Saccharomyces cerevisiae S288C: one gene and its partner. Each later gene encodes a partner of the first gene's protein in a complex. Each region holds a gene or a part of one and is shown on either strand. Other genes may lie near its edges. The genes, in order: NOP7 and YTM1.

Evidence for each region.
Region 2: NOP7 (region 1) and YTM1 share a complex: the UniProt entries of both Saccharomyces cerevisiae proteins name them as parts of the NOP7 complex.

The regions. Positions count from the first base shown.
Region 1 is NC_001139.9:693,450-697,734, reverse strand, and holds NOP7 (mRNA-binding ribosome synthesis protein NOP7), read right to left. Parts: upstream 2,319-4,285; coding exon 501-2,318; downstream 1-500. Other genes in the region: SRB5 (Srb5p), read left to right, coding at 1-290; GTF1 (glutamyl-tRNA(Gln) amidotransferase subunit F), read left to right, coding at 2,600-3,151; rhomboid protease PCP1, read right to left, coding at 3,332-4,285. UniProt on the Saccharomyces cerevisiae protein: Component of the NOP7 complex, which is required for maturation of the 25S and 5.8S ribosomal RNAs and formation of the 60S ribosome.
Region 2 is NC_001147.6:830,869-834,854, reverse strand, and holds YTM1 (Ytm1p), read right to left. Parts: upstream 2,043-3,986; coding exon 660-2,042; downstream 1-659. Other genes in the region: TPO4 (Tpo4p), read left to right, coding at 1-403; FSF1 (Fsf1p), read left to right, coding at 2,813-3,796. UniProt on the Saccharomyces cerevisiae protein: Component of the NOP7 complex, which is required for maturation of the 25S and 5.8S ribosomal RNAs and formation of the 60S ribosome.

The DNA of each region.
Region 1 (4,285 bases):
AATTTCAGTATCTTACAATTGGTGTGAAATTTTTTATGAAGCATGGTTTAATACTTGAGTTACAAAAAATTTGGCAAATAGAAGAAGCAGGCAATTCACAAATAACAAGCGGAGGGTTCCTTTTAAAAGCATACATCAATGTTAGTAGGGGGACCGATATCGATCGTATAAACTATACAGAGACTGCCTTGATGAACTTAAAAAAGGAACTACAAGGCTATATAGAGTTAAGTGTACCCGATAGACAGTCAATGGACTCGAGGGTAGCACATGGAAATATTCTAATATAATCATTGGCACCTGGGCATATTTTTACAAAATTCACTCATATAGTTATACAGAACAACAGTAACCACTTTTAATGTACAGGTATTTCTATATCTACAAACAAAAATGTGTAGTTATATATCTAATGTTGCTATACCGAGGAATTATAAAGTAATAAAGATGTTAAATTAAAAGACAAAATTTTTGAGAGGCTATTGGAAAAGAAGAGAAAACTATTTCTTGGAATCTAGTTTATTCAGTTTAGCTTTTTGTTTGGCAATTTGCTTCTTTTTCTTTTTTAAGTTCTCAGCTTGTTCCTCCTTTTTAGCATTAGAATACTTCATTTTTTTGTAAAGTTTCTTTTGTTTGTTACTCATCATTATCATTTTCAATTTCTTTTCTTCTTCTTCTTCATCCACCTTTCTCTTTTTGTTCTTTGACTTATTGACATCCTTATCAGCTTCTGAAGTTTCAGAATATTTGATACCTTGTGCTTCCAATTCAAGCTCTTTTTGAGCTTGTAGCTCTTCGTCATCGTCATCATCTTCTTCTCCAGCAACAACTTCTTGATCTTCCTCCTCAACTTGATCTTCACTTTCACTTTCACTTTCACTTTCTTCTTCTTCGCCTTCTTCGACAGGAGCAGTTGGATCGTAACCAATAGCATCACCCCATGGGCTTAAGTGAGGTGGAAGAGCCTCCCCTGGAAGATATTTGTTGGCAGGTACCAATTCGCCTTTATTGATACAATCAAATATCCACTGTGGCTGAATATACGTTCTGCCAGCTACCTTGTTTTTCAAAACTGGCCTGTCAACAATTTGATGAGTGACCTTGGACATGTCAATATCCTTCTTATTTTCAATTTGGTCCATAGCAGCTTCACTGATGACATTACCACCACAAGATAAGATCAAGAACTCAAGAATATCGATCGGAACTTCTCTGCTAACGTAAAAAACAAATGCAGAAAACAAAGAAGCAACAGGAGAATCGTACTTACTTGGCTGTATTAAGATGTCACCCTTGTTCTTATTGTTATCCTCGAAAGTATCTAGTTCCGTTTCCTCATTTTGTTCCTTTTCTTGTTCCTTTTCTTGTTTCTTTTCTTGTTCTTCCTCCTTTTCTGTTTCATCAGTATTTGCCTCATCGGCATTCAAGGCAGACTTTAATGTCGATGCGTCCAAACTTTCAACTTTTACGTCTTCCTCAATCTCAGTTGGGTCAAGTTTTAGTAGGCTGTCTTCTTGTCTGGATTCTAGAATATATGATGACAAACCACTTATGATTTTATCCTTTTTAAGATCCAATTTTGGCGGATAAATCAACCCACTATCGGTGTATAACTTATATAGGACGAAATGCAATAGAGTCGAGTAGAATTCTAAGAAGGTCAACATAATTCTGAAATCAACGTCACTGGGGATGTTTTCTGGAAACTTGAATGGAACTAACCATCTAACTTCTTCACCCTTAATATTGGCTTGATAATAAACACCTTTAATGGATACAAACACTTTACGAACCAAGCGTTCCTTGGCAACATAGGCTAACCATTGATTACAGATTTTCTGAGCATCATTGATAATTTTCGAGGAAACCTGGTTGGTAGAGGGCAAATTAGAGAAAAGAAATAACATATTCAAAGCATCATCAATATCCCTTATAGCATCTGGGAAACTTGGATAACGCTCCTTGATAATATGGTCTAAAGTATAACTATCTCTGTTTTCCTCTAACCTTTTAGCAGAAGAGACTTCTCCCCTACCCAAAGCCCTTGTTAGTTTCCTAGCAAAAGTCTTGTGTTCTCTAAATTTAGCCAAAACGGGCTCATGCATTAGATATTGAATATCCTTAGCATAGTAAAAAGTAGTTGGTGCAGTAGAGCCCTTGTTTGCCTTCTTTTTATTTCTTGGCTCTCTAGGATAGATACCTTTGAATATACATAATCTTCTGAAATCAGCAAGAGAAACCTGTAATTTTCTCACAGCTTGAGATCTGGTAATAAAGTTTCTTGCGTTACCTCTGGTGTTTTTCTTCTTGATTCTCATTGTATAAGTAGGATACCGCTGTTACTATACTATTTTCTACAGGAATAAAATGTATTCCACCAGCAGGATTTACTACACATCTCTAATTAACCTTCCAAAATTTTTCATTTTTTCTCATCTCATCTCATCGCAAAAAATTTTCTTTAATTTTTTCAGGCAATAATAATAGTCACCACAGACGACATGACATTATTCTGTAAATATAACATCAAGGAGGTAATAGTGACTAGCATTTAGGCTTTTAGATCGAACTATTTGCACTTACCCATAGTGCTAGAACGATGTACAAAACATGGCGTCTATGCAGAACACATACAGTGGGTGGGTTATGCCATGATGGAAGTCATCGGTTCGTATCTACGGGAGGGGCAAAGATTGGTAAAAAATTTGAAAATATGAATCAAATAAGGGATTATTTATCAAGACCTGTATGGTCCGTCCACGAATATTTAGGCATAAACACTAAAGAGGAAAAACTAGAGCCACCGTCTGCTGAAGCTGTAAAAAAATTGTTGCGGTTATCAGGTCTTCCCTTGGAAGGAGCAGATATTAAAGAAATTCAAATGCGACTTGCCAAGCAATTATCATTCATCAACAAACTCCATAACATACCTGTCGAAGGTGAAAAGCACACCAAGGAATATGATGCTCGGTTGGTGCAAAGAAATACGAAACAGCTGAACTACACAAAGCTACTTGAAGGCATCAGCCACCAAAAGCAGGATGCTGAGCTAGGAGAAGTTAGCGGATCTTGGAAAGCAACTGGACTTGCCGCGGAATCCAAAAATGCATATTTTGTTGTCAAAGAGGGACTACTCAAAAACAGGAAGTAAGACTTAGAAAAGTAACACATACGCTCTATTCTATATATTCTTTTGCCTATGAATTTTCTTGTACATGTACCACCACGATAAGGCTGAAATATTTTTCAAATGCATAAATAAGATTAAGTACATAGAAGACATAGCAGTATTTACAATATTTCGAATGAGAATGTGTCTTTTTTTAAGTGATTAAAACCACCTACCAGCAGCCTGAAGGCGACGCTGCCTTTGTTTCTCTACAGCTTTACTTATATACCATCCGTACAAGACCCCCATCATAGAGCCACCTAAATGCGCAGCGTAATCAAATGACCCCCATCTTAAAGCACAACCAGCTGCATTCCATGCCACTGAAGCCAAGAATGCTACCCAAGCCCCACCTGGGACTGGGAAAACAAACAGCAAAATTTTAGCGTGTGGGAATAGATATGAAAAACATCCTAAAACCCCAAATAGCGCTCCACTGGCACCCAAGCTAGGTCCGACAATGGCTAGGCGTGCCAGTTTTGGATACCATAACGAAAACAAAGAACCTGCAATGGCACTATTCATATATAAGGAGAAAAAATTGGATGCTCCCAACATTGTTGCGAGTGAAGTACCAAAGGACCACAACGCTAGCATGTTCATACCTAAGTGCCAGAATTCTTGATGTGAAAACGCACTTCCGATTATCGAAATTTTGCTAGTTACGTAATCCTTTTGCAGCAACATGTACTTCTGTAGAAACCTCCAGCATTTGGGTAGCTGCCATAGTCCAAATACGGCAACATTGATGCCTAATAACGCGTATACCAGATTCTTTGGATGCGTCTTAAAATACGTAAAGGGTGGAACGTGCTCGAACAAATAAGGGGAGCCAAAATATATTCCTGCCATTAAAGAGAGCCCCAAAATAGTCATAGAGCCCAGAGGATTGCCGCCGCTTCTCTGCTGCTGGTACTGCTGAAACCTGTTCAAACGTACGTATCGATTAGTAGTTTCTTCATTGAATATAGGCTTCCACCTTGATTTCAAAATTGATGTTTGAGAAAAGAACCGTTTCGGTATAATTTTCTGAAGATTTGTGACATTGTCCTCTAAGTTGGGAGCATTTTTGAGTATCGACGTGCTCTGGGATCTTCCAATATATGATACAAAAGT
Region 2 (3,986 bases), on another chromosome or scaffold:
AGTTTGCGTTGTGATGATTCCAATTCCATGGGTTTTTGAAAAATGGGGGAGCAAATTAAGACACAAGTCACAATTTGGTTATGCCGCCATGGAAAAGGAGGCTGAGACCGAAGGTGGTATAGATGACGTAAATGCTGTCGATGGTGAATTGAATCTAACAAGGATGACCACGTTAAGGACCATGGAAACAGACCCTTCGACTAGAGAAAAACCAGGTGAAAGGCTATCTCTGCGCAGGACCCATACGCAGCCCGTTCCTGCCTCGTTTGATCGCGAGGACGGGCAACATGCGCAAAATCGTAATGAACCCATTTCCAATAGTTTATACTCAGCTATCAAGGATAATGAAGACGGTTATTCGTATACGGAAATGGCCACCGATGCTTCCGCCAGAATGGTTTGAAAAGGTCTTAAGACAGATCACAATTGCATATATTCAAATAGTAAATTGGGGGATAGCTGGATAAAATTCACCAATTTAAATTTATAGAAGTTTCATACAAGTACACATTATCATAGAAGTATTTTTTTTTTTAGCAAGTAATGTCGTTTTACATAAAGAAGAAGGTGACAGAAATTTGCGAAAGCTGTTGGCAAAACCAAATTTATTTCAAGTATATCAGTACATTATTCTACATAAAAACAACAACAGTTTTTTCTCAGTTTTTGAAAATGTTGTCTCCTTTATTTATTTGAATCTTTTTGTCTTGACCAGCGCTGATAATACCCACTTTTTCAGCCCATTTGACAGCAAAAACTTTGTCATTGACGCCCTTTTGGACCGATTTGTCTTCTCTTGTTATGGTGTACATCGGAGAAGTAGACCTGACGTCCCATACCTTCACGGTACCATCGTGAGAACCCGAGCATAATATATACTCATTCTCGGGACAAGTGTCCAGAGAGGAAACGAAGTTCTTATGACCAATTAGTTGTTGCTGAGTAACTTTGGAAGACGCTCCCACACGTGGGTCATGCAATGTGATGTGTCTGGCGCTGGACCCACATGCTAACAAGTTCAAAGTCGACAATTGAGCAATGGAAAGCAACGAGTACGATGTTGTTCTTGTATCTATACATCTCGCGGTGACCAAATCCCATGTCTTGATGGTATGATCTTGTGATACTGAATAACCAACGGTATTATCTGTAGAATCGAAGATCACTTGCTCAACAGGAGCTGTATGGGATTCTAACAGAGACAGAGGGGCACGTCTTCTAATGGTACCATCTTTCATTGTCAATTTTCTCCTTTTTCTAGCAGCAGTGGATATTTTATTGTTTGGATTGTTTATATCTTCTAATGGATCAACAACTGTCATTTCCTTATAAATAGTAGACCAGAACCCAATAGAATTGTCGTATGATGCAGATAATATTCTTGAGTTGTCTGAAACATCAATAGAGACTACTGGTGCCTTATGACCTTCCAAGATAGCCAGTGTCTTACCGTCCTCTATGTTTACTTCGTCATCATCGTCTTCCTGTGCCTGTTGTTGTGAAGTTAATTTCAAATCATCGTTTTTGGTTTTCCATAATCTCAAAGTACGGTCGTTACCAGCCGAAACTAGCCTTGTATTGGAAATGTATTTTACTGCACGGATTGGGCCAGAATGACCACTGTACTGCTTTTGCACATTACCTGATAAATCCCAGGTGCGAACTATACCATCGTAAGAACCACTAATAATATGCTTGGAACCGTCGCCGACATCCAATGAGCTAACCCAGTCCTCATTGCTGAAACTATTCAAATAGGATGGTGGAAGAATTGCCCTGGTATATTCTACATTCAGCGAGGCTTCGCTCGATAAACCTTTCTTGGTCAAATAGTCGTGCAATGAAGTACGTAACAATTCACCTTCAATCAAGAAATCGAAAGGAACAGGCTTTTCCGAGCCCAACAAGTGATTGACAATTTCGGACAACCCATATCTCTTTAATGAGATGGGGGCGTACATTGGAGTATCTTGTACATGTAGTAATTCATCTTTCTCACGCGTGAAAAACCTGATTTTAACCTGCGATTTATCTTCTGTCATATTGAATTTGTGCAGTTTCCCTTGGTATTGTCTTTAAAACTTTAGGTAACGTATTGGTTCTGCGAACATAGAATATGTCTTTTTGCAATTATACAGATGAGCATATGCCTTTCACTGCTCCTACGGTTTGCGATGAGATGAGCACTTCAGAAAATTTTTGAAAAATTTTTGAAGTACTGGCCGGGTAACAGAAAACTGTCAAACCCTCTTGTGCAAGAAATAAGCTAAAGTTCTCCCTAAGAATAAAATAGTAAAGGAAGCTATTGCTACAGATAAATATAAATGAATGAAAGATATCTCACTCGCGCAGCTACCGATCTGGGCCAATGGGAGACACTAAAAGAAGCACCTGTGAGAAGCGCCCAGAACAGTATGAGGACGCTCATGAGTGTGGGAGTTGCTCTAGCTCTTCTTTTCCCCTCTGATCACCTACGGATGTAAGATGGCACAGTGAATAGAAGGCATGTTTAATATGTATCATGCCTTCTTCGGAACCGAAAATCAAAGATAACTAAAAAATGAAAGAAGAGTAATACTAGAAAAATGATCGCTGCCTCGGCGCTTTTTATACCAATGGTGCCCGAGACGAACGAAAAGTTTTTCTTTCGTACTGGCGTCCGGTACCGGAGCGTACCAGATTGAGGTAATTGGATAAGAGACTGTTAGGTCTTCGCATCAGCTTTACAGTTTTCAAAGGCGTCGACCACTGCAAGTTAGCAATAATAAAACCACACAGCATCGAAAGAAAAAAATAAACAAGGCAGAGAAATATGGCATCATCAGTCCCAGGGCCCATCGATTTGCCCGAATCCCGCTATGACTTATCCACGTATTGGGGTAGAATCCGCCATTGCGCAGAGATTTCCGACCCCACTATGTTGTTAACTACTGAGAAGGACCTGGCGCATGCTAGAGAAATCATCAGTGCGTATCGTCACGGTGAACTAAAAGAGACTACTCCGGAGTTCTGGCGAGCCAAGAAACAACTGGACTCCACCGTGCATCCGGACACAGGGAAGACAGTTCTTTTGCCCTTCCGTATGTCTTCCAACGTGCTATCAAACCTAGTCGTTACTGTAGGTATGCTGACGCCTGGTTTGGGTACGGCAGGGACTGTATTTTGGCAATGGGCAAATCAATCGCTAAACGTCGCCGTTAATTCCGCTAACGCAAACAAATCTCATCCTATGTCCACGTCCCAATTGCTCACCAATTACGCTGCCGCTGTAACTGCGTCGTGTGGTGTTGCGTTAGGTCTAAATAACCTAGTTCCCAGGTTGAAAAACATTTCTCCACATTCAAAGTTGATCTTGGGCCGTTTGGTGCCATTTGCCGCCGTGGTCAGTGCCGGTATTGTCAACGTCTTCCTAATGAGAGGCAACGAAATTAGAAAGGGTATTTCTGTGTTTGACTCTAACGGTGACGAAGTCGGAAAGTCCAAGAAGGCTGCCTTCATGGCAGTTGGTGAAACTGCATTAAGTAGAGTGATTAACGCCACTCCAACTATGGTCATCCCACCTTTGATTTTGGTTAGACTACAACGCGGTGTCCTCAAAGGTAAGTCTCTCGGTGTGCAAACTTTGGCCAATTTGGGGTTGATCTCAGTCACAATGTTCTCAGCTTTGCCATTTGCACTCGGTATCTTCCCTCAAAGACAAGCAATCCATTTAAATAAACTAGAACCTGAACTACATGGCAAGAAGGATAAGGATGGGAAGCCAATTGAAAAGGTCTATTTTAACAGAGGTATTTAGAAGTGAAGAGACAAATTTATATAGTTATAGAATAAATATCAGATAGATAAGAAAAAAAAATTAGTTAAACATTAATATATATATATGTGTAGTGACTGACATACGTATGACTGCTAGTAATCCAGTTGCCGAGCTATTGTTGCAGATTGAAATGTCATCACGTGGACATTATATCATCATTAACGACTAA